Linked DNA regions of Tribolium castaneum. The protein of the gene in region 1 purifies or fractionates together with the protein of each later gene. This does not show direct contact. Links are inferred from orthologs where the notes say so. Each region holds a gene or a part of one and is shown on either strand. Other genes may lie near its edges.

Region 1 (11,250 bases):
TTTCAGTACCTGGAGCGCAAACTCTTCGACGCCGCCTCCACGCTGGAATCGGCCCAAATGGTCCGTTTCAACCCGACTTTGGGCGAACTCCGTCCGACAAACTACGGCCGTATCGCCAGTTTTTACTACATCTCGCACCAAACAATGAAATATTTCCACGACCATTTCGAACGTTCAATGGTCGAAGCCGACATCCTCCACCTCATCAGCAACGCATCCGAATTCCAGCACATCCAAGTCCGGAACGACGAGCTCGACGAGCTCGATCGCCTCCACGAAGAGTTCAGTCAATTCGAATTCAACCTAGACCCGAGCGCTGTTGTCTTCAAAGTTTTGGTTCTGATCCAGGCTAACATATCACGTGCCAAAATCCGCGTCTCGTCATTGGTCTCCGACTGCGAGTTCATAATGCAAAGTGTGACGCGATTGGCGCGAGCGCTATTCGAAATTGCGGTTGATAAAAATTACGCTTTGCAAGTGTGGCGCTGCTTGGAGGTGGCACGAATGGTTGAACAGCAAGCTTGGACTGACAGGCATCCTTTGATGCAGTTCAAGGAGTTGGAGATTAAGGGGCACAGGGCACTTGATGTGCTTCATAATATACCGATTGAAGAATTACAAGAGATGACAGAGCGGGAAATTTTGGATTTGGTTAGAAGTAGACATTTGGCGAGTCGGGTTCACCATTTTTGCAAAGCTTTTCCACGTGTTAACCTTGACGTTTCGGTTAAACCGATCACAGAGGGCGTGATCAGGTTACAGTTGCTGATTGGTGCTAACTTCAGTTGGGATAGTAGTATCCATGGTAACGTGCAGCATTACTACGCGTGGGTGGAGGACCCCACACATGATAGTATCTATCATTTTGAATCGTTTATTATCACGAAAAAACAAGTGATAAGTAAGGAACCAATCGAATTGATTTTTACGGTGCCGTTGCAAAAACCGCACTCAAATGAATATTTTGTGACGGTTGTTAATAGCAAATATATGGGTGAGTGATTGTCATTTGTTGCTTAAGAAAGCTGGGACACTTGATTTTAATAAAAAATTGTTAGAATAGAGACTGATGTGAATTTTTAAGAAATAGTTACCGAATTTTTAACGATAATTTGATGATTTTGTTGCTAATTTTGGCGAAATTTCGCTAAAAAAAATGTTTAATTTGATGATTTTTTGTCCATTTTTGCGCAAAAGTTCAATTTTTAGCTTCCGAAAAAGTCAAAAATAACAACTTTTGGACGAATTGTCAAAGTTTTCATCTTGTTTTCGACCGAAATCGAAAATTTTTGACAAGTTTTTTCCAAAATTTCGTGAAATACTTGCGCCTTTGGCTAAAATATGTCTAGTTGGAGTTGATTTCATGATTTTTTACTTGTATTTGGAATTTTTTTTTGTGATATAATACGTTTCTGAAGCAAAAATAAAGTAAATTATGTGGAAGAGGTTAAAGTGTTTCGATGAAATAATAAGAATTTTCGACATAATTTGATAATTTTATTTCTTATTTCGCTAAAAATCGAATTAAGACGTTTGAAATCGCGCTACATTATAGTCAATTTTGATTAAATTTGATGAATTTTTTGTCTATTTTTGTGGAATCTTGCGGAAAAGTTCAATTTGTAGTATTCTGAGAAAGTCAAAAATAACAATTTTTGGCTGAATCGTAAAAATTTTCGGCTTGTTTTCGACCAAATTTTTTTCACTTTAATCGAAATCGAAAATGACTGCGTATTTTTACGAAATTTTGTGAAATACTTGCGCTTTTCGCTGAAATACTCAACAGAGGGAGAAATAGTGTGAAGTTCGAGCTGATTTTATTATTTTTTCCTAGTTTTTGGAGAAATTTTGTGAAATAAGTAAATTTCTAAGTTCAAAAATAAACCAAATAGTTAAAGTGTACGTTAATTTTGTTTTTTTTATTCAAAAAAAACCTCAGTTTTTCGCATAAAAACGCACTGTTTTTGTAAATTCTGGCATGTTTTTCCCAAAATTTTGTGAAATAAATTAATTTTTGCTCCAAAAATTAACGAAACTGGTCAAAATGACATCAGTTTTAGTCCATTTTTTAGCAAATTGTTCGGTTTTTTAAGAAAAATTTTAATAAAAAGTGTGTTTAAACGCTTATACAAGGTAAAAACATAACTAGTTTCAAAATATTTTAGTAATTCGGCTTGTTTTTGATGAAATTCAGTCAAAATTAAGTCAAAATAATGAGATCTCACAAGGAAATTATTACGTTTTTAACTCAATAATGTACTTAAAGAGAAAAAAAAATGGAATAATTATACGTTTCTAGCTTGTTATGATAAAATTTCGCTTAAAAACGAACTAAATCGACTGAAACAGACCAAAATAAGCTGATTTTTTTTGGAATCTTTCAAAGTTTTTAGCTTAAAACTGACTTAAACATTCGAAAAAGGTACAAATAGTACACTTTTTGACCGATTTTTCAAATTTTTCATCATGTTTCTGACTTATTTTGGATGATGTTTTTGAAGAAACCTTCTTGTATTTGTGTTTAATAACGAACTAAATCGCACGAAAAGGCCAAAAAACGCTCGAAAAAGGCTAAAATAGTATATTTTCCTACTTCAATTCCTTGATTTCCGGCCTTTTTTTATTGAAAAAACTCAATTTTATGCTTAAGTATGGTAATTTTTAGCATGTTTTTCTCCAAAATTTACGAAATAATTACGTTCCTACTTTGAAAACTGAACAAAATCGGCCGAAACTGAGTTTTTAGGGAAATTTTGATAAAAAATTAAAACAGATTTTGGTTCAAAACAGCGATAAATACTTGAAAAAGGAAAAAATAGTGACGTTTTTGTCCTAATTTCGTAAATTTTTGCTTAGTTTTCGGCAAATTTTCGCGAAGTTATTACATTTTTTGGTTTAAAAGCGAGCTAAATCAAGCGAAATATTCCAAAATAATTGTAATTGCGTTCTAATTTTCGGATTTTCTGGCCTGTCTTAGTGAAATCTCGCGAGAAAATTTGGTTTTTAAATCAATATAACGTACTTACAGAGCAAAAGTTTGCGAAATAACGAACTAAATCAACCGAAACCGACTGAAGTAACACCTTTTTTTCCAATCTAATTATGAGAAACCTTGCAGAAAAGGGTAGTTTTTAGCTTAAAATGGCAAAAATAACACATTTTTTGCCTTGTTTTTGGCGAAATTTTGCAAAGTTTTTGAGTTTTTTGGTTTATTGTTATTGATTTTTTTTGGAAACAAACTGAAACATCAATTTTTTAGCTTTAAAGTGTTAAAAATCACAGAATTTTTGAACGAATTTTCGTATTTTTTTTCGTAATTTGACCTAAATTGGATGATTTAAAAAGTGTCCCACCTTTCAAATCTCGAAACTTTAGCCACTGGACTTGAAGGCACTAAAATTTGACGGTTTTTAGCCGCGGAAACGTCCTACAGAATCGACTTGGACAAGTTACACCTTTTGCCAAGCTACTCAATCCAGACGAAATTTTTAAGCGTGCGACCTTTACCCAAAACGGCCTTACATAACACCGAGTTTGAAAATTTGTACAGTTTTACACACTTTAACGCCGTACAAAGCCAAGTGTTTCATTGCTGTTTCAACACCGACTCCAATGTTTTACTCGGAGCACCGACAGGTTCCGGGAAGACAATAGTGTCGGAAATTTGTATTTTGCGATTATTTGCGAACCGACCCGAGCGAAAAGTTGTCTATATTGCACCAATGAAGGCTCTAGTTCGCGAGCGTGTCCTTGATTGGACGCCAAAATTCGCCAAAATTGGTAAAAAAGTGGTGGAAGTGACCGGTGATGTCACCCCTCATTCTTCACTAATCTCGACGTCTCATATTATTATTACAACGCCGGAAAAGTGGGATGGAATGAGTCGAAATTGGCTTCAGAAGGATTTTGTTAAACAAGTCGGACTTATTATAATTGACGAAATTCATCTTTTGGCTGAAGATCGAGGTCCAGTGCTTGAAGTTATCGTTTCCAGGATGAACTACATCAACAGTATCAAGAATGCTAAGGTAAAACTTACTAAAACTTTAAGAAAAAGCAAAAATTATGACATTTTTGGATTAATTTTGTGAATTTTTTGACGGCATCTCTAAAAATAATGAGCAAAAAAGTATTGCTTTTGATGTAATGTTAATGATTTTTGGCGTATTATTGATGAAAATTTCGAGAAAAAGATTAAGTTTTGGCACGCATTTTCGGCTTGATTACCGACCTTTAAGGCAAATACCTTCAAAAAATTGAAAAAAAAAAACTCACTACAGCAAATTGTTATGAACTTCTATATGTCTTAACAACCCACTAAAGTTGTTAAAAGTCCACAAAAAGTCCATTTGATCGATTTTTTGGGTTTGATTTTTTCAATTTTTTTCGCGATTTTGGCCGATTTCCGGTACCCGGAACATTTCTCGAGCAATAGCTCTGGAACTATCAGAGATAACCCCATGAAGTGTATTATCGTTGGAAAGCTCTTTAAATTATCTATCTTTTTCAAAAAAAAAATATTGTTCTCCGGCTAATAGTTTTCGAGCAAATTGGAGACAAATGCAAAAATTGGTAAAATTTTAAAAAATTCATAACTAAAAAACTATTCGGAATTTGGCAATTTTCTCGATGCCAATCGATTCCCCGGATCATTTTGCATAGGTATGGATCAAAACAGTTCCACTTTTTCGAATAGTTTAGGCGTAAATGAGAAAATAAAAAAAATTAAAAAAAAGTTAACACCCCCCCCCCTTAAAATCGGTCAATTTTTAAAGTGTCTCTAAATCAAATGAAACCTATTCTATCTTATAGATTTTGATTTGCTCTTTACGATGGAACAAACCGTTTTCTCCTAACTCTTTTAGTTTGGCCGTAATCGGCGTTTGAAAATTGAAAAATTTTTTGCGAGATATCGCCTTGAGTCCTATGCCATTTTGTAGAGTTTTTTATTCCGGTTATCCTCCATTTTTCCGTTTCTCGATAACTCTAATAGTTTCGCCGTAATTGGCGGTTGAAAATTGAAAAAAAGTGAAAATGGAAACCTTTTTTTGCGTTTTTCTCGGAAACTGTAAGAGTTAGAGCAACGAACAAAAAACCATCTGATAGCGCTTAATTTTATCTATTTTTTCGACCAAACCCGGAGCCGCTCCGGGCAACGGTTCCGGCTACAGAGGCGATCAAAGTTTTTCACTAAAAAAAATTATAAAAAAAAAACTAAAAGTCGTAGAGCACTGCGGTTTGTTCCATTGAATTCTACGGCTCATTTTACATAATATATCAATTTTTCACAAGAATTAAAATTTTAAAATTTTTTTGCTCAAATTTCCAGGGTAATATCCTTCAAAGTGACGAAAAAAAAATTTTTTTTTAAACTCACTTCAGCATATTTTTATGGACTTCTGTATGTCTTAACAACCCACTAAAGTTGTTAAAAGTCCACAAAAAGTCCATTTGATCGATTTTTTGGTTTTGATTTTTTCAATTTTTTTCGCGATTTTGGCCGATTTCCGGTACCCGGAACATTTCTCGAGCAATAGCTCCGGAACTATCAGAGATAACCCCATGAAGTGTATTATCGTTGGAAAGCTCTTTAAATTATCTATCTTTTTCAAAAAAAAATATTGTTCTCCGGCTAATAGTTTTCGAGCAAATTGGAGACAAATGCAAAAATTGGTAAAATTTTAAAAAATTCATAACTAAAAAACTATTCGGAATTTGGCACTTTTCTCGACGCCAATCGATTCCCCGGATCATTTTGCATAGGTATGGATCAAAACAGTTCCACTTTTTCGAATAGTTTAGGCGTAAATGAGAAAATAAAAAAAATTAAAAAAAAGTTAACACCCCCCCCTTAAAATCGGTCAATTTTTAAAGTGTCTCTAAATCAAATGAAACCTATTCTATCTTATAGATTTTGATGTGCTCTTTACGATGGAACAAACCGTTTTCTTCTAACTCTTTTAGTTTGGCCGTAATCGGCGTTTGAAAATTGAAAAATTTTTTGCGAGATATCGCCTTGAGTCCTATGCCATTTTGTAGAGTTTTTTATTCCGGTTATCCTCCATTTTTCCGTTTCTCGATAACTCTAATAGTTTCGCCGTAATTGGCGGTTGAAAATTGAAAAAAAGTGAAAATGGAAACCTTTTTTTGCGTTTTTCTCGGAAACTGTAAGAGTTAGAGCAACGAACAAAAAACCATCTGATAGCGCTTAATTTTATCTATTTTTTCGACCAAACCCGGAGCCGCTCCGGGCAACGGTTCCGGCTACAGAGGCGATCAAAGTTTTTCACTAAAAAAAATTATAAAAAAAAAACTAAAAGTCGTAGAGCACTGCGGTTTGTTCCATTGAATTCTACGGCTCATTTTACATAATATATCAATTTTTCACAAGAATTAAAATTTTAAAATTTTTTTGCTCAAATTTCCAGGGTAATATCCTTCAAAGTGACGAAAAAAAAATTTTTTTTTAAACTCACTTCAGCATATTTTTATGGACTTCTGTATGTCTTAACAACCCACTAAAGTTGTTAAAAGTCCACAAAAAGTCCATTTGATCGATTTTTTGGTTTTGATTTTTTCAATTTTTTTCGCGATTTTGGCCGATTTCCGGTACCCGGAACATTTCTCGAGCAATAGCTCCGGAACTATCAGAGATAACCCCATGAAGTGTATTATCGTTGGAAAGCTCTTTAAATTATCTATCTTTTTCAAAAAAAATTATTGTTCTCCGGCGAATAGTTTTCGAGCAAATTGGAGACAAATGCAAAAATTGGTAAAATTTTAAAAAATTCATAACTAAAAAACTATTCGGAATTTGGCACTTTTCTCGACGCCAATCGATTCCCCGGATCATTTTGCATAGGTATGGATCAAAACAGTTCCACTTTTTCGAATAGTTTAGGCGTAAATGAGAAAATAAAAAAAATTAAAAAAAAGTTAACACCCCCCCCCTTAAAATCGGTCAATTTTTAAAGTGTCTCTAAATCAAATGAAACCTATTCTATCTTATAGATTTTGATTTGCTCTTTACGATGGAACAAACCGTTTTCTCCTAACTCTTTTAGTTTGGCCGTAATCGGCGTTTGAAAATTGAAAAATTTTTTGCGAGATATCGCCTTGAGTCCTATGCCATTTTGTAGAGTTTTTTATTCCGGTTATCCTCCATTTTTCCGTTTCTCGATAACTCTAATAGTTTCGCCGTAATTGGCGGTTGAAAATTGAAAAAAAGTGAAAATGGAAACCTTTTTTTGCGTTTTTCTCGGAAACTGTAAGAGTTAGAGCAACGAACAAAAAACCATCTGATAGCGCTTAATTTTATCTATTTTTTCGACCAAACCCGGAGCCGCTCCGGGCAACGGTTCCGGCTACAGAGGCGATCAAAGTTTTTCACTAAAAAAAATTATAAAAAAAAAACTAAAAGTCGTAGAGCACTGCGGTTTGTTCCATTGAATTCTACGGCTCATTTTACATAATATATCAATTTTTCACAAGAATTAAAATTTTAAAATTTTTTTGCTCAAATTTCCAGGGTAATATCCTTCAAAGTGACGAAAAAAAAATTTTTTTTTAAACTCACTTCAGCATATTTTTATGGACTTCTGTATGTCTTAACAACCCACTAAAGTTGTTAAAAGTCCACAAAAAGTCCATTTGATCGATTTTTTGGTTTTGATTTTTTCAATTTTTTTCGCGATTTTGGCCGATTTCCGGTACCCGGAACATTTCTCGAGCAATAGCTCCGGAACTATCAGAGATAACCCCATGAAGTGTATTATCGTTGGAAAGCTCTTTAAATTATCTATCTTTTTCAAAAAAAAATATTGTTCTCCGGCTAATAGTTTTCGAGCAAATTGGAGACAAATGCAAAAATTGGTAAAATTTTAAAAAATTCATAACTAAAAAACTATTCGGAATTTGGCACTTTTCTCGACGCCAATCGATTCCCCGGATCATTTTGCATAGGTATGGATCAAAACAGTTCCACTTTTTCGAATAGTTTAGGCGTAAATGAGAAAATAAAAAAAATTAAAAAAAAGTTAACACCCCCCCCTTAAAATCGGTCAATTTTTAAAGTGTCTCTAAATCAAATGAAACCTATTCTATCTTATAGATTTTGATGTGCTCTTTACGATGGAACAAACCGTTTTCTTCTAACTCTTTTAGTTTGGCCGTAATCGGCGTTTGAAAATTGAAAAATTTTTTGCGAGATATCGCCTTGAGTCCTATGCCATTTTGTAGAGTTTTTTATTCCGGTTATCCTCCATTTTTCCGTTTCTCGATAACTCTAATAGTTTCGCCGTAATTGGCGGTTGAAAATTGAAAAAAAGTGAAAATGGAAACCTTTTTTTGCGTTTTTCTCGGAAACTGTAAGAGTTAGAGCAACGAACAAAAAACCATCTGATAGCGCTTTATTTTATCTATTTTTTCGACCAAACCCGGAGCCGCTCCGGGCAACGGTTCCGGCTACAGAGGCGATCAAAGTTTTTCACTAAAAAAAATTATAAAAAAAAAACTAAAAGTCGTAGAGCACTGCGGTTTGTTCCATTGAATTCTACGGCTCATTTTACATAATATATCAATTTTTCACAAGAATTAAAATTTTAAAATTTTTTTGCTCAAATTTCCAGGGTAATATCCTTCAAAGTGACGAAAAAAAAATTTTTTTTTAAACTCACTTCAGCATATTTTTATGGACTTCTGTATGTCTTAACAACCCACTAAAGTTGTTAAAAGTCCACAAAAAGTCCATTTGATCGATTTTTTGGGTTTGATTTTTTCAATTTTTTTCGCGATTTTGGCCGATTTCCGGTACCCGGAACATTTCTCGAGCAATAGCTCCGGAACTATCAGAGATAACCCCATGAAGTGTATTATCGTTGGAAAGCTCTTTAAATTATCTATCTTTTTCAAAAAAAATTATTGTTCTCCGGCTAATAGTTTTCGAGCAAATTGGAGACAAATGCAAAAATTGGTAAAATTTTAAAAAATTCATAACTAAAAAACTATTCGGAATTTGGCACTTTTCTCGACGCCAATCGATTCCCCGGATCATTTTGCATAGGTATGGATCAAAACAGTTCCACTTTTTCGAATAGTTTAGGCGTAAATGAGAAAATAAAAAAAATTAAAAAAAAGTTAACACCCCCCCCTTAAAATCGGTCAATTTTTAAAGTGTCTCTAAATCAAATGAAACCTATTCTATCTTATAGATTTTGATGTGCTCTTTACGATGGAACAAACCGTTTTCTCCTAACTCTTTTAGTTTGGCCGTAATCGGCGTTTGAAAATTGAAAATTTTTTTGCGAGATATCGCCTTGAGTCCTATGCCATTTTGTAGAGTTTTTTATTCCGGTTATCCTCCATTTTTCCGTTTCTCGATAACTCTAATAGTTTCGCCGTAATTGGCGGTTGAAAATTGAAAAAAAGTGAAAATGGAAACCTTTTTTTGCGTTTTTCTCGGAAACTGTAAGAGTTAGAGCAACGAACAAAAAACCATCTGATAGCGCTTAATTTTATCTATTTTTTCGACCAAACCCGGAGCCGCTCCGGGCAACGGTTCCGGCTACAGAGGCGATCAAAGTTTTTCACTAAAAAAAATTATAAAAAAAAAACTAAAAGTCGTAGAGCACTGCGGTTTGTTCCATTGAATTCTACGGCTCATTTTACATAATATATCAATTTTTCACAAGAATTAAAATTTTAAAATTTTTTTGCTCAAATTTCCAGGGTAATATCCTTCAAAGTGACGAAAAAAAAATTTTTTTTTAAACTCACTTCAGCATATTTTTATGGACTTCTGTATGTCTTAACAACCCACTAAAGTTGTTAAAAGTCCACAAAAAGTCCATTTGATCGATTTTTTGGTTTTGATTTTTTCAATTTTTTTCGCGATTTTGGCCGATTTCCGGTACCCGGAACATTTCTCGAGCAATAGCTCCGGAACTATCAGAGATAACCCCATGAAGTGTATTATCGTTGGAAAGCTCTTTAAATTATCTATCTTTTTCAAAAAAAATTATTGTTCTCCGGCGAATAGTTTTCGAGCAAATTGGAGACAAATGCAAAAATTGGTAAAATTTTAAAAAATTCATAACTAAAAAACTATTCGGAATTTGGCACTTTTCTCGACGCCAATCGATTCCCCGGATCATTTTGCATAGGTATGGATCAAAACAGTTCCACTTTTTCGAATAGTTTAGGCGTAAATGAGAAAATAAAAAAAATTAAAAAAAAGTTAACACCCCCCCCCCTTAAAATCGGTCAATTTTTAAAGTGTCTCTAAATCAAATGAAACCTATTCTATCTTATAGATTTTGATTTGCTCTTTACGATGGAACAAACCGTTTTCTCCTAACTCTTTTAGTTTGGCCGTAATCGGCGTTTGAAAATTGAAAAATTTTTTGCGAGATATCGCCTTGAGTCCTATGCCATTTTGTAGAGTTTTTTATTCCGGTTATCCTCCATTTTTCCGTTTCTCGATAACTCTAATAGTTTCGCCGTAATTGGCGGTTGAAAATTGAAAAAAAGTGAAAATGGAAACCTTTTTTTGCGTTTTTCTCGGAAACTGTAAGAGTTAGAGCAACGAACAAAAAACCATCTGATAGCGCTTTATTTTATCTATTTTTTCGACCAAACCCGGAGCCGCTCCGGGCAACGGTTCCGGCTACAGAGGCGATCAAAGTTTTTCACTAAAAAAAATTATAAAAAAAAAACTAAAAGTCGTAGAGCACTGCGGTTTGTTCCATTGAATTCTACGGCTCATTTTACATAATATATCAATTTTTCACAAGAATTAAAATTTTAAAATTTTTTTGCTCAAATTTCCAGGGTAATATCCTTCAAAGTGACGAAAAAAAAATTTTTTTTTAAACTCACTTCAGCATATTTTTATGGACTTCTGTATGTCTTAACAACCCACTAAAGTTGTTAAAAGTCCACAAAAAGTCCATTTGATCGATTTTTTGGTTTTGATTTTTTCAATTTTTTTCGCGATTTTGGCCGATTTCCGGTACCCGGAACATTTCTCGAGCAATAGCTCCGGAACTATCAGAGATAACCCCATGAAGTGTATTATCGTTGGAAAGCTCTTTAAATTATCTATCTTTTTCAAAAAAAAATATTGTTCTCCGGCTAATAGTTTTCGAGCAAATTGGAGACAAATGCAAAAATTGGTAAAATTTTAAAAAATTCATAACTAAAAAACTATTCGGAATTTGGCAATTTTCTCGATGCCAATCGATTCCCCGGATC
Region 2 (11,584 bases), on another chromosome or scaffold:
ATTGTTAATATCTTCAAATTTGATTTCTCCAACTAGATGGGCACATGACGATACGTTGACTATTCGCGATTTCAAATTTTGGGTTCCTGCAGCGCACAGTTGCGGGAGCAACAAATGGGTCAAAAGAAAGTGACCCAAGTAATTTGTGGAAAACTGCGACTCGTAACCATCTCGACTCTCAATATACGGACCAAACATTATCCCCGCTAAAGTACAAACAATTATGCAAAAAAATAACAAAAAGCGACTCACCATTGTTAATTAAATAATTAATTTTTGGGTGTTTTTCGGCCACAACTTTGGCAAAACTTTTAACAGAATCTAACACACTTATGTCCAGTTTGTAAACGGTGACGTCCCCCGTAGTCACCCCGCTGTCCCTGCACTTTTGTAACACTTGTTCCCCCGCTTGAGTATTCCTGCAACCTATTATTATTTATTTATTTTTAGTCGTATTCTTATGACTGAAAGTACCGATGATAACGTGAATGTCACACCGAAGTAGCATTTTTACGACCTCGGCCCCTATTCCTCTGGCACCCCCTGTTATTACGGCCACTTTCCCGGACAAAATCGGCAAATCTTAAATTAAATTGAGTTTGGCGGGTTTAACAATTTACAAAAAATGCTTACCCGTCTTGTTTTTACTCCGCATGAACACATCCTCGAGGATGGCCCTGGATCCCACTGCATTATACAGTAGCTCGTATTTTGCCTCAGCTAAGATCGTTTTTAGGGGCTTTTTTGAGCGCCATATCGCCACAATTGTGACGATGATGATTATCCCACAGCCAATTAACAAAAACATGGATTAAAAACATTAAAAAATGTTGACGCTTGTGCTGTTTAGCTCTAACTAAGCGACTTTCTCGGACATGACTTTCTCTATTTCCGACGAACACGCGAAGGAGATAAGTTGAGTGGGTCCAACGGGCTGACTCAGGACAGGTATTGGGTAATTACGAGACTGGGGAATTACAATTTTTCGTTCAAACTTCAAATTTTGTCAATTTTCAAAGAAGCAACGGCTCTTTTGTGCGCTATAATTGGAGCGTATCCCATTAATTATTAATTGAAGATTTTAACGGTGAAACCACAACGAACGGTAACACCAAATCCTGTTTCAAATTAGGATGTGAGATTAGCATATATGTGGAGAGGACAAGGGTCACTAGTGGCATCGGGTCACAGTTTTCAATCGATCGAAATTATTAATTAATTATTTGTTTTCTGAGGCCCCCAACCTTTCGGTTGTCAAATGTCAAAATCAGGTGTTGGCGCGTCGCGACATCTATCCATTCGCAAAAGAAGCACCCAATCTGGTAAATTGTTCCCCAAATACCACCCCTCATAAATTAATTTTTCGAAAAAGGGCGATGTGTTTGACTTCAACAATGCCAATGTGTCCACGTGTTAGTAAAAAATCTGTGTGGGGTTTAGTTTCGGGTCCCCAAATACAGTTTCCTTCCCTCCCACAAACGTCAAAATCGGACGCAATCTCATGGCAACGTAAATGTCACTATGTCATTGCGTGTTTACGAGCAAGTGAGATATGCACGTATCGTCCTGTTTGTAATAAAAATCAAACATTAACATTATTCGGTCGTGCTATTTCGCGAATTTGCTAACCACCTACGTGTCACTGTAAACCGTTGGTGTTTTTCCAAATCTCGAAGAAATGAGTGACAGTGCGGGCCCATCGAGCAGTTCGGACCAAAGACAGCGGGGGCTGAACGTGGAGGCCCTCAAGCAGCACGTGCTCACCCACAAAATCGACTGTGGGTTGTGGGCCATTCGGGTGCTGACCATCCTCTTCACTTGCGGCTACTTTTTGCCAATTTTCGGGTAAGTAGCCTTGTACTCATGCTAATTACAGGTAGCCGGTTGATAACCGGTTGTTCTTGGGTTGTGTTTTTAATTGTGGTGTTTAGGTAAAAACGCCAAAAGTGGACGTTGTATGGTTGAGGATCCTAAGAGTGAAAAGTAGCCCATCACATATGCACTTTCTTTTTCAACTTTCACTCAGTGAGAAATTTTTGTTGTGTTGCAGGAGTGCTCAAAATGCCTATTACAAGGCGCTCATTGCGAACGCTGCCATTAACGCCCTCAGGCTGCACCAGAGGTTGGGGAGGGTTAGGCTGAGTCGGGAGTTTGTGGCACAGTTGTTGATGGAGGATAGCTGCCACTATCTCTTCTATTCCATGATTTTTATCTATGTGGCACCCTTGACCTGTATCCTTCTCTAATTAATGTGAATTGATTCAATTAGAGCAGCACTGAATTCATTTCCTTAACTAGAATACAGTGGTTTTGTTGCCAGTGGTTCTGTTCGCTATTCTACATTCAGCCAGTTACTCACTAACTCTACTTGATGTAATAGTCAGTAACAGCACTAGTAACGTTTTAGTAATTTTTTGTTTTTCAGACTTTGGGCCAAAACTCGTGGTGGGGCGCCCGCCTCTTGATATCTTTGGTCGAATTCCAGTCACTAAATATCTTGAGACTGATCGCATTCACTGAGATTATTATGATGCCACTCACTGTACTTTTTGTCGCTATGTAAATAATCTAAATGGGGTAATATTTTTTATAAAAATTGTTTTTGCAGGGGACGGGCTAGTCTACTGACGCCTTTTATCTATTATCATTTTTTGACTCAAAGGTACACATCAAGGCGTAACCCTTACAATAGAAACATGTTCCATGAACTCAGAATCTTGTTCGAAAAGACCGCAGCAAAGCCCAATCTACCTTCCTTTGTGAAGTCAATCTTGCTAGGGATTATCAATTTCACTGTTAAGTTAGCACCTCCCCAGGTGCAAGCCCAGCATCAGCAGTGAGCTAGTTGTTCCATGTATCCTTATTATATCAAATGTTCGTGATATGGGTAATTTTAACGCCTAGTATTGTTTATTTGCACTTGTTTGGTACATGTTCATGCAATTTTTTGCACGAATTTGAGGTATGGTTGCAAAATTTCGTCCGTTACTTTTTATATACTTTTAACCCAGGAATGATTTTTTATTAATTTTTAGTATGGATGGTGTAAAGTAGTTTTGTTATATCGTTATAAATGCATTGTGCTCATGGAGGTTTCTGTTGTAAAACTCATTCGAATTAAATTTTCTCCATGTCATGTTGTTATGTTAATAAGCAAAAGTTTGTAATTTCACAATAAAAAAATATTTAAAAAAGGGCGTTTTATTGAAATACTCTTCATTATTCCCATTATTCTTCATTATTCCCATTTTTTATTTTTGTTATTGTTATTACGAACTATGATCCAGTTCAGAGATAAACATTTAGTAAACAGGCCGAAAATTAAAAATTGCTTTAAGCTCTCTTATTTTGCGAAATTCCTTTAAAAACGGACAGAATCACGATGTCTTTTAAATGCTTACTTTAGCACATTTTTAAACCATATTTTGTTCAAAAAGAAACGGAAATTATCTACGCTGCTTTTGCCTTTTTCACTCAACAATTAGTTGCTTCGCCAAAATTTTTGTTTACGTGTCATTTTGTAAAATCTTACTTAGTTGGAAATTACGTAGCTCCAAAGTTTAGCTAATTTTCTGAAATGTCGATAAAACACGTCGCAGTTAATGACTCACTGCTTTAGAGGAATTTCTTTTTTTAGAAGGGAGAAAACATTCCCAATGGCAAAATTAGGAATAAGGTTGAAACAGGAAGGGCATTTTTCTTGGTATTAAAATAAAACGAAAGTTATCTTTCCAGAATTTTATTGAAAATTAATCTTATGATAACTTTAAGCTACTACTGGAATAGCTGGTGGTGCGTCAGGTTTGACTGCTTTGATTTCACTGCTGGGGTAGGCAGGCAAAATCTCCTCTTTAGGTTCCACAACAGAGACATTGTCAGGCAGAGGCTTTTTGGGGCCTGTTTTGCCGCTGGGGTCCCACGGCAACATAATCTTGACCTAATACAACAAAATAGCATCATACAAACACCAATAATTTTACAAAAACTTACTTTAATTCCCAGCACACCCTGTCTTAGCAAGACGTGGCGGGTGGCTGTGTCCACATAATCATTGCATGGGTCCCCAGAGTGGATCATGAGACCGTCAACAAACTTCATCGATTTGGCTCTCTGGCCACGCAGTTTTCCAGAAACTACAACTTCACACCCTGCAAAATAACCACTAAATTAATTCAAAATACGTTTTGAGCCAAATGTCCAAACCTTTAGCGCCACATTCCATGATGTACCTCAAAACACCATAGCAAGCCCTGCGCACGGCCAAACCTCCGATCAATTTGAATCTAAGAGACTCTGCTTGTGCAATGGCACACAGACCCCTGTTGGCCACCTTCTCGCCATACAAAACGACTGAGTTTTCGGGGAAATTGAAACGTTTCTGTACGACTGAAGTCAATTCACGAATACGACGGTTCTTCTCCCCCAAAACACGGTCAGTACGTGTGGCCATGATGATGATTTCCGTGCGAGTTGGGGTGACTCGGACCTCAACCCCGGAGTACCCATCTTCTGATAATTCACGAGTCAAGAACTCGTTCAATTCGGCTTTGAAAACGCCATCGCCAACAAACTACAAATAAGCGCAACATCAAGTCGGTGAACTGGGGACCACATGTGGGAAAATGTTGGGTTATGGTTTGGGGAACAAGTAAACATGAATGTTAGCCCAAACATGTGTGCTTATTTTACAAGATTTTGGGCTCTAATGAAGAGTTAAACATGTTTAAGTGGATGGAAAGGCCAATTTCTGGTATTTACCTTGCGTTTTTTCGAAATTGGAGTCGCCATTTTGACGTTCTAAATGGAAAAGGTTTGACGTGTGGCGAGCGGAAGTCGACCTAATTGGGAAGGGATGTGATAGAGGACGCTTACAAGGCGGCTTATTTGAATAATTTTTGGAGAGAAAACTTTCTTGCATATCGGGTAAATAACGTAATGAAAAGACTGTTCTTTTTTCAGTTTTTTTACCTTCAAAAAATTATTTTTTTTTTATCTGAGTAGCTCCAACCAAACCAACAACTTTTATGAACTTTTATGTGTTCAGAACTCTTTTTAATCATCTATCGTTTAAAAAAAGGTCATTGTCCTGCTACTGGTAGTTTCCAAAAATATTATTATTGCTAACAAATGCAAAAATAGCCAAAATCTATTTCGGTTTATAACTTGAAAAACTATTACGAATTTACGACGCCAATCAATTCTCCAGACAATTTTGCATACGAATAATTGAAAATATCTCAATTTTGTCGTATATTTTCGCCGTAATTGAGAAAATAAACGCAATGTAATTCTACACAAGTTGCGCCAAATGTAAAATATTATCTTGGGGAAAGATCTTGGACCGAATAATTTATGCAACTGTTGCGTAAAACAATGTAAGACCATAGGCAAAAATAAATTAAAAACAAAAATAAATAAATAAATTCTCTAGTTTTTTTGGTAATTTTGTTAATTTCTGTCATCTATTTTTTATGTTTGTGGTTTGACAACATACGTTGAGGTTATGTCGTGACATTTTATACAATGTGGATCAAAAAATACCTGCTTAAACCTCATTCACCCTCATTATAAATTTCTGTTCCACTCAGTCACTTAACTGGGCCAGGATTGTGTTTCAAGATAATCAAATTAATAAACATGGCGATAGCGACAAATAGTTCAATATTATCATTGTTACCAAAATATCTGTTTTGATAAGAATGGCTTCGTGGAGCACTTACTTGCAAGCGATTTTCTACATTGCTCTGTTATTTTTCGTTATCCCTATAAGAATAAAAGGCCCAGACCAAGCCGAATCACAATTTCAAGAGTACTTGAAAAGGTTCAACAAGACATACGATGACCCTTCTGTGTATCAAAACCGTCTTCATGCATTTAAGGTAAAACTTATAATTTGTGTCCTTGTTGTATAACGTCGCTTTTCAGCAATCACTACAAACAATCGAGACTTTGAATTCCAAAAAAAGGAATGGTTCAGCACTGTACGGTTTAACGAAATTCTCGGACTTGTTACCAGAGGAATTTTTCCAAACCTATTTACAATCAAACCTGAGTCAGAAGACGCATTCAAATGAGCCAAAACGACACCACCATAAACGAGCAACAGTGCCTAATAAAGTAGATTGGAGAGAAAAAAACGCAGTGACTAGAATTTACAACCAAGGCAGTTGTGGGGCCTGCTGGGCCTACTCTGTTATTGAAACTGTGGAGTCCATGAACGCCATCAAAACCAACAAGTCTGAGGAGCTCAGTGTGCAAGAAATTATCGATTGCGCTGGTAACAACAAAGGGTGCAATGGGGGCGATATTTGCACTTTACTGTCTTGGATCAAAGCCACAAATTTCACGATTCAAAGACACGCCGATTATGGGGGTAAATGTGGCCGGGGCTCGGCTGGTGTCCATGTTAGAGACTTCATGTGTGAAGGGTTCGTTTAGTTATTTTTTAAGTTTATTCTTTCTTATGGAAACTTTCAGATTAGTGGGGTCTGAAGATGTTATGTTGAGGCTTTTGGCGGATAATGGACCCCTGGCTGTTGCGATTAATGCGCAAACTTGGCAGAATTACATTGGAGGTGTTATTGAGTATCACTGTGATGGGGATCCGTCAAAGTTAAATCATGCTGTCCAGATTGTTGGGTATGATTTGACTGCAAGTATTCCGCATTATATTGTCAGGAATACGTGGGGTGTGGACTTTGGGGACGGGGGATTTTTGTACATAGCTGTGGATAAAAATATGTGTGGGATCGCAAACGAGGTCTCAGCATTAAGAGTACTGTGATTTATTTAGATAGTGATGTTTAAGTGTATCCATTTTATGTAGAAAATGTATAGGTTTTATACACCAAGTGAGAATAAATGTTTTTTTATTATTGTATTTTTTCTTCCATAGTCCTTGAAAATAAATACTGGTCGCCACCAATGAGCTTGTAATAATTAACTCCTTTTTTTGTGAAAAAAACTCACACATCTTCAGTTTGTTGTTGCGTCAGACATTTTTTTTATAAATAAGCTTCATGGTCCTTCCCTTTATAAAAGCAGGTACGTATTTCATAACGGATTCCAGTTCCAGTGGTTTAAAGTCGTCTAAATAATACAGAGCCATTTCTCTTTTGTTACCTAATTTTTTGTTGCTATACCTAATTTTATACTGGTACATTTTTATAGCAAATTTTGCTGCAGCTTAAATAAGAAATCCGATATTGCGTCAAGATTTTCGAGAAAGAAATAAAAAAAATGTTTTTAACCAGGGACATGTGCACTATACTTACATAAAAAAGCCTCTCTGTGTTCAAGATTTTTGTTAAGAGTGGCCATTGCATTAAATTTTAGAAGTAACATAAATATAAAGGTGTTATTTTAGGCTTTTTAAAGTTTTGTTCTTTTAATTGCTCTGTGGGTAATGGGTAGTTATTATTTTTCTAAATATAAATTTAACGGAAACATTTTGTTTGATTTAATCCTGTCCCTGTAATTGAGTTAATCTACATCATAATTATCCATTTCAAAAATAAATTTAACTTTTGTGGTGGTTTGCTAGGCAAAATTTCCTTACACACGGAAAATAATACAGTGAGTTTGAAAACTCAAAACCCAGAAATGTTGACTTTTCGCCAAATTATCGATGTGTTGAAAAAAATCTGGCCGACGCGGCTCTATTTTGAATTTTAACAGCTCACAGTGTTGATAGGGAAGGGGATCTGGGCTGGTGAAAATAATTTCCTCAAAAAATAGTTTATAAATATTTTATTTATCCCGTTTGAATAACACAGTGTCTTGCAAGTATTTATTTTTGCTCCTTTAATAATAATGCTACGTAATGATCAACCTCGAAACACTTACCTGCGATTTTTCCGCATGATTAGCGTTATATTATTATTAAATCAGTAACATTTGCATTGACTAATGGTTACATTATACCTACTAACGACTTCGTATTGCGTTTCGCCAAAAAAACTTTGGATTGTAATTTTTTACGTTAGAATGTCATTTAAAGGTAAAACTAGAAGATGTTTATCAGGTTAAACAAGTCGTTGATGGAATTCTTGTAGGAAGTATTTATACTGACATTTTTTGGAGTGTGGCTTACTGCCTTATTATTATTATTATTATTATTGACAACAGAACAACCTCACCTGAGGCGAAATGTATAAAACCCTTTTTTATTGCACAGAGACGTACAATTAAACGTGGTAAAAGCTGAGAGCGATCATTTAACTTGTAATTCCATTATTCTGATACGAAGTGCTTACCTTAGTCTTTTTGTAGTAGGTACTTGCTCACTTAGTTATTTAATTAAGAACGTCAACTAAATTACAGTCAAGTAGGTAACATGGCTTACAAAGTTCCGACTTTTTTCTTTTGTTGGATCGTGTACCTAATTGGAATAACTGGAGGGTGTTTATTATATTAGCTATTCGTAATGAAATTGCTGTTGGAACTTGATTATTCTTTGTGTGGATTCTCGCGATACTTACCTTTGATTACATCAAAGCTGCGAAAAGCGAACGTTTATCGGGAGCAAACTGTGTATCGTGTTTGTATTTTTTCCAAGTCTATAACTAATAAACTAGTAATAACTTAGGTATAATACGTCTACGATCATGTCCCACATTATTATAGGTGCCATCTACTATAGGTTCGGCTACTACCACGGTAAGGAGTGGATTGATGGGGTTTACTGTTAATCTACTAAATAATTCGATTAAATTTCAAGCAAACGAAATGCTTTATTAGATACACCACTGCAATAATACACGCTTGTAACAAACTGATATGACTTAATCATCAAATATTGTACTCAGTACAGAGTAGAAATGACTAAATGTTAAATAAATAATAAAATTTATAACGACGAGACTGAACATGCGTCGGGAGCGTCCATTGTGCTGTGCGGGTGGTAGTTGCAAAAAATGACCACAATCAGCACAACATCGCTCCTCACAAAATTCTTTGTCGGTTAGGTCAAATTCGCAACATTATGGGCGCGCTGTTCACTGCTCTTGGGCTTTTTTGTAATAATGTAATCAAAGGGGAAACAAGTTTTCAATCTCTTTCATAATAATGTCGATGGAACTGCACAACATTGTTCTTTAATATTAATTACTTCGTAAAATTGACCTGAACTCTATTGACTAGGCACACTTAGTTTATATAATAACAAGAAACTGTCCTATGAAAAATAGAAACTTCCGACAATAAAAGAAACAGACAAATAATCAAATAATAGTGTCGACGCGGACGCGTCGACCTCACAACGGTCTCATTTTTTTTTCGATTTTTAAAAATACTTTATCATTACAACATATAAATTATCAAGATATTCTTGTAACAGGACCAACAGTGTATACATGTAATGCTTTAGCCAGATAATGTGCTCCATAATAATCGAGTGACATTCACACACTAATTATGTTTTTTTCTAATATTAACGATCATATACAAAATAAACCATCTGTTCGGAATGTGTCGAGTTCCAAAGAAAACTTCAACCGAGAAGAACACCTTAATTTTATCATCGTAACATTTTGATTTAACAACTTTGAAAATACTTTGGAATAGAGTAGTTGCCAACAAGTGGAGTAACGTTATTGTCCACTGCCGCAATAAACGAGTGAGGTGCACTTGGTGTGGGGGTGCGAGGGCGCATGCACAGACTAGGCCAAGCGGCGGTAGAGGCCACTACTGCGTCAACGAACACGCTCATTTAATTTTTACAAAGATTTTTTGTTTTTTTTTGGCTAAAATTACACCCGCTCGTCGAGTTGATTGATTATGTAAGTAACAAACATAGCTCAAAAATATATATTACTCACAATATATATTGCCTTGATTCAATTTTGCAAATATAAGTAAGTACTTACTACAACGCATCAGTCTTACAGTTGAGAGAAGAGCAAAAGCTTAGGCGCGGACAGCTCGCGGCTACTAATTCATAAATCCTACGCAATTAACGATAAACACACACGGACACAGACAAGCAAGCGGCGGCGGCGGCGGCGGCGGAGAGAAGCACATTATCGGGAGTGATGGGGGCAACACGACGGTCGGCGACGGCGGCGATATGTGTCACGTGGCCAACACAACACTACACAGATATAATGTATAACACGCACTATTGCTATCAAATATAGAATATCTGCGATTTGTCTGCGCGACCTATGGCAGGAACGATGATGACGGACAAAGCGGCTAATGCTAGGTGGCGTCCGGGGCCCCCGCGAGACTCTCGGGGCCGCGGGCCGCGCCCCCGGTCCCGAGAGCCGCAACAGGCGCGGGCGCCTGGAATGTGCGGCCTCACAACAAGAAAACACTCATATAATGCTCGTATTGTTACAATAACCTTAAGTGTAAATGTGATAAACTCGGTCAGTCCTAACAAATACCTACTACTACCTTATCAAAGAGAGAGACATACGTCGCACTTTTTCAATACAACCATAATAAGGACGTACAAAGCACATAAAAATACAATATATCATCAATAATTTTTGTTTTTGATATAAAACGACTAGACTAGAATACGACGTAAGCAGCTACTTTTGGTCGGTCCGCGCGAGCTTTGGTCCGCGGGTTCCAGCCAACAAGCAAGGAGAATTGGTGTGATCAGTACAGTCAGTACAAGTTTTTCCTTTTTACAGTACAACACGTACAATGCTTTGGTGTTCGTACTTCACGAAGAGGTGTGGTGGAAGAGCGTACGCTTTTTGAGTTCATTTACGGATGCGGCGCGGCCCGGCGCCTCCGCCATTTTCGCTGCCCAACACTGAAAAACTACGCTGAATGCGAACTGAAGCCCGTTTTGATTCGAGTTGGAGCGACTTTGAGAAATTTTAGATTTAAAAAGCAATTTATTGGTTGTTGGGCAGCGTTTTCGCGCGAGAGCAGACGGCGACGGTGACGGTTCGGGGCGGCCTGCAGGTGGTGTGTGCAAGTGATAATAACATCGGGGGTTGGGGAAGGCATTTCCGATAATCACAGTCTGTTAAGAGGTTCTGTTCGAGCGCAATACCGGGAATAGGTGCTCGGAAGTGTGGACTCTGCGGCGTGGCTCATTATTAATTAACAGTGCACAACAACAATCTACAACATGAGCAAAATGTATAAAAATTTATAATCTGGAACAACTCATGCAGCGAATAACAAGAGATTGTGCGACGGGAATGTGAGTGCGGCCCTTGGCGGCCAAACAACGAGGTGGATATTTGTTAGAGAGACAAATGGAGAACAGACGACACACGGGGAGCGGTGAGGCGGAGCGGGAGGTGGAGGTCTTTAGTGCGGTTTGTGGTGGTGGTGGTGGTGTGCGAACCGGAGGAGACGACACTACATATGTACACACTCCACGTGGATAAAATAGAGTAATGTTCCCTAGAGTAATTGACATGAAGGTAAACGCAACATATTCAAGTGACAGGCCCCTGGGCGGACGGCGGCCGCCCCATTGTGCGCATCTTGCTGGAAAGGTGGACGGCCGACACCCTCCCCGGAGGACTATTGCATCTGCGTATCACTAAGTTCGTTACCAGAAGAAATGTGTTGTTGAATCAGTCTTACCGAAAATGCTTTTTTAATCTTGTTT

Evidence for each region.
Region 2: the proteins of obe (region 1) and RpS3 purify together in Homo sapiens (co-immunoprecipitation; 4 studies listed by BioGRID and IntAct, with this or other methods). This does not show direct contact. The link is inferred for Tribolium castaneum from reciprocal best matches to the Homo sapiens genes ASCC3 and RPS3.

What each region holds. Positions count from the first base shown.
Region 1 is NC_087401.1:15,003,057-15,014,306, reverse strand, and holds part of obe (activating signal cointegrator 1 complex subunit 3), read left to right. Parts: coding exon 1-994; intron 995-3,414; coding exon 3,415-4,028; intron 4,029-11,250. UniProt on the Homo sapiens protein: ATPase involved both in DNA repair and rescue of stalled ribosomes. 3'-5' DNA helicase involved in repair of alkylated DNA: promotes DNA unwinding to generate single-stranded substrate needed for ALKBH3, enabling ALKBH3 to process alkylated N3-methylcytosine (3mC) within double-stranded regions.
Region 2 is NC_087402.1:7,601,204-7,612,787, reverse strand, and holds RpS3 (ribosomal protein S3), read right to left. Parts: upstream 5,584-11,584; 5' UTR 5,542-5,583; exon of another isoform or gene 5,468-5,541; intron 4,892-5,467; exon of another isoform or gene 4,839-4,891; 5' UTR 4,789-4,838; coding exon 4,759-4,788; intron 4,571-4,758; coding exon 4,204-4,570; intron 4,149-4,203; coding exon 3,991-4,148; intron 3,938-3,990; coding exon 3,767-3,937; 3' UTR 3,724-3,766; downstream 1-3,723. Other genes in the region: retinol dehydrogenase 12, read right to left, coding at 1-206, 253-426, 475-582, 634-808; Kr-h2 (Krueppel homolog 2), read left to right, coding at 1,679-1,845, 2,051-2,232, 2,306-2,373, 2,426-2,559, 2,609-2,840; cathepsin O, read left to right, coding at 5,700-5,879, 5,926-6,428, 6,478-6,784. UniProt on the Homo sapiens protein: Component of the small ribosomal subunit. The ribosome is a large ribonucleoprotein complex responsible for the synthesis of proteins in the cell. Has endonuclease activity and plays a role in repair of damaged DNA.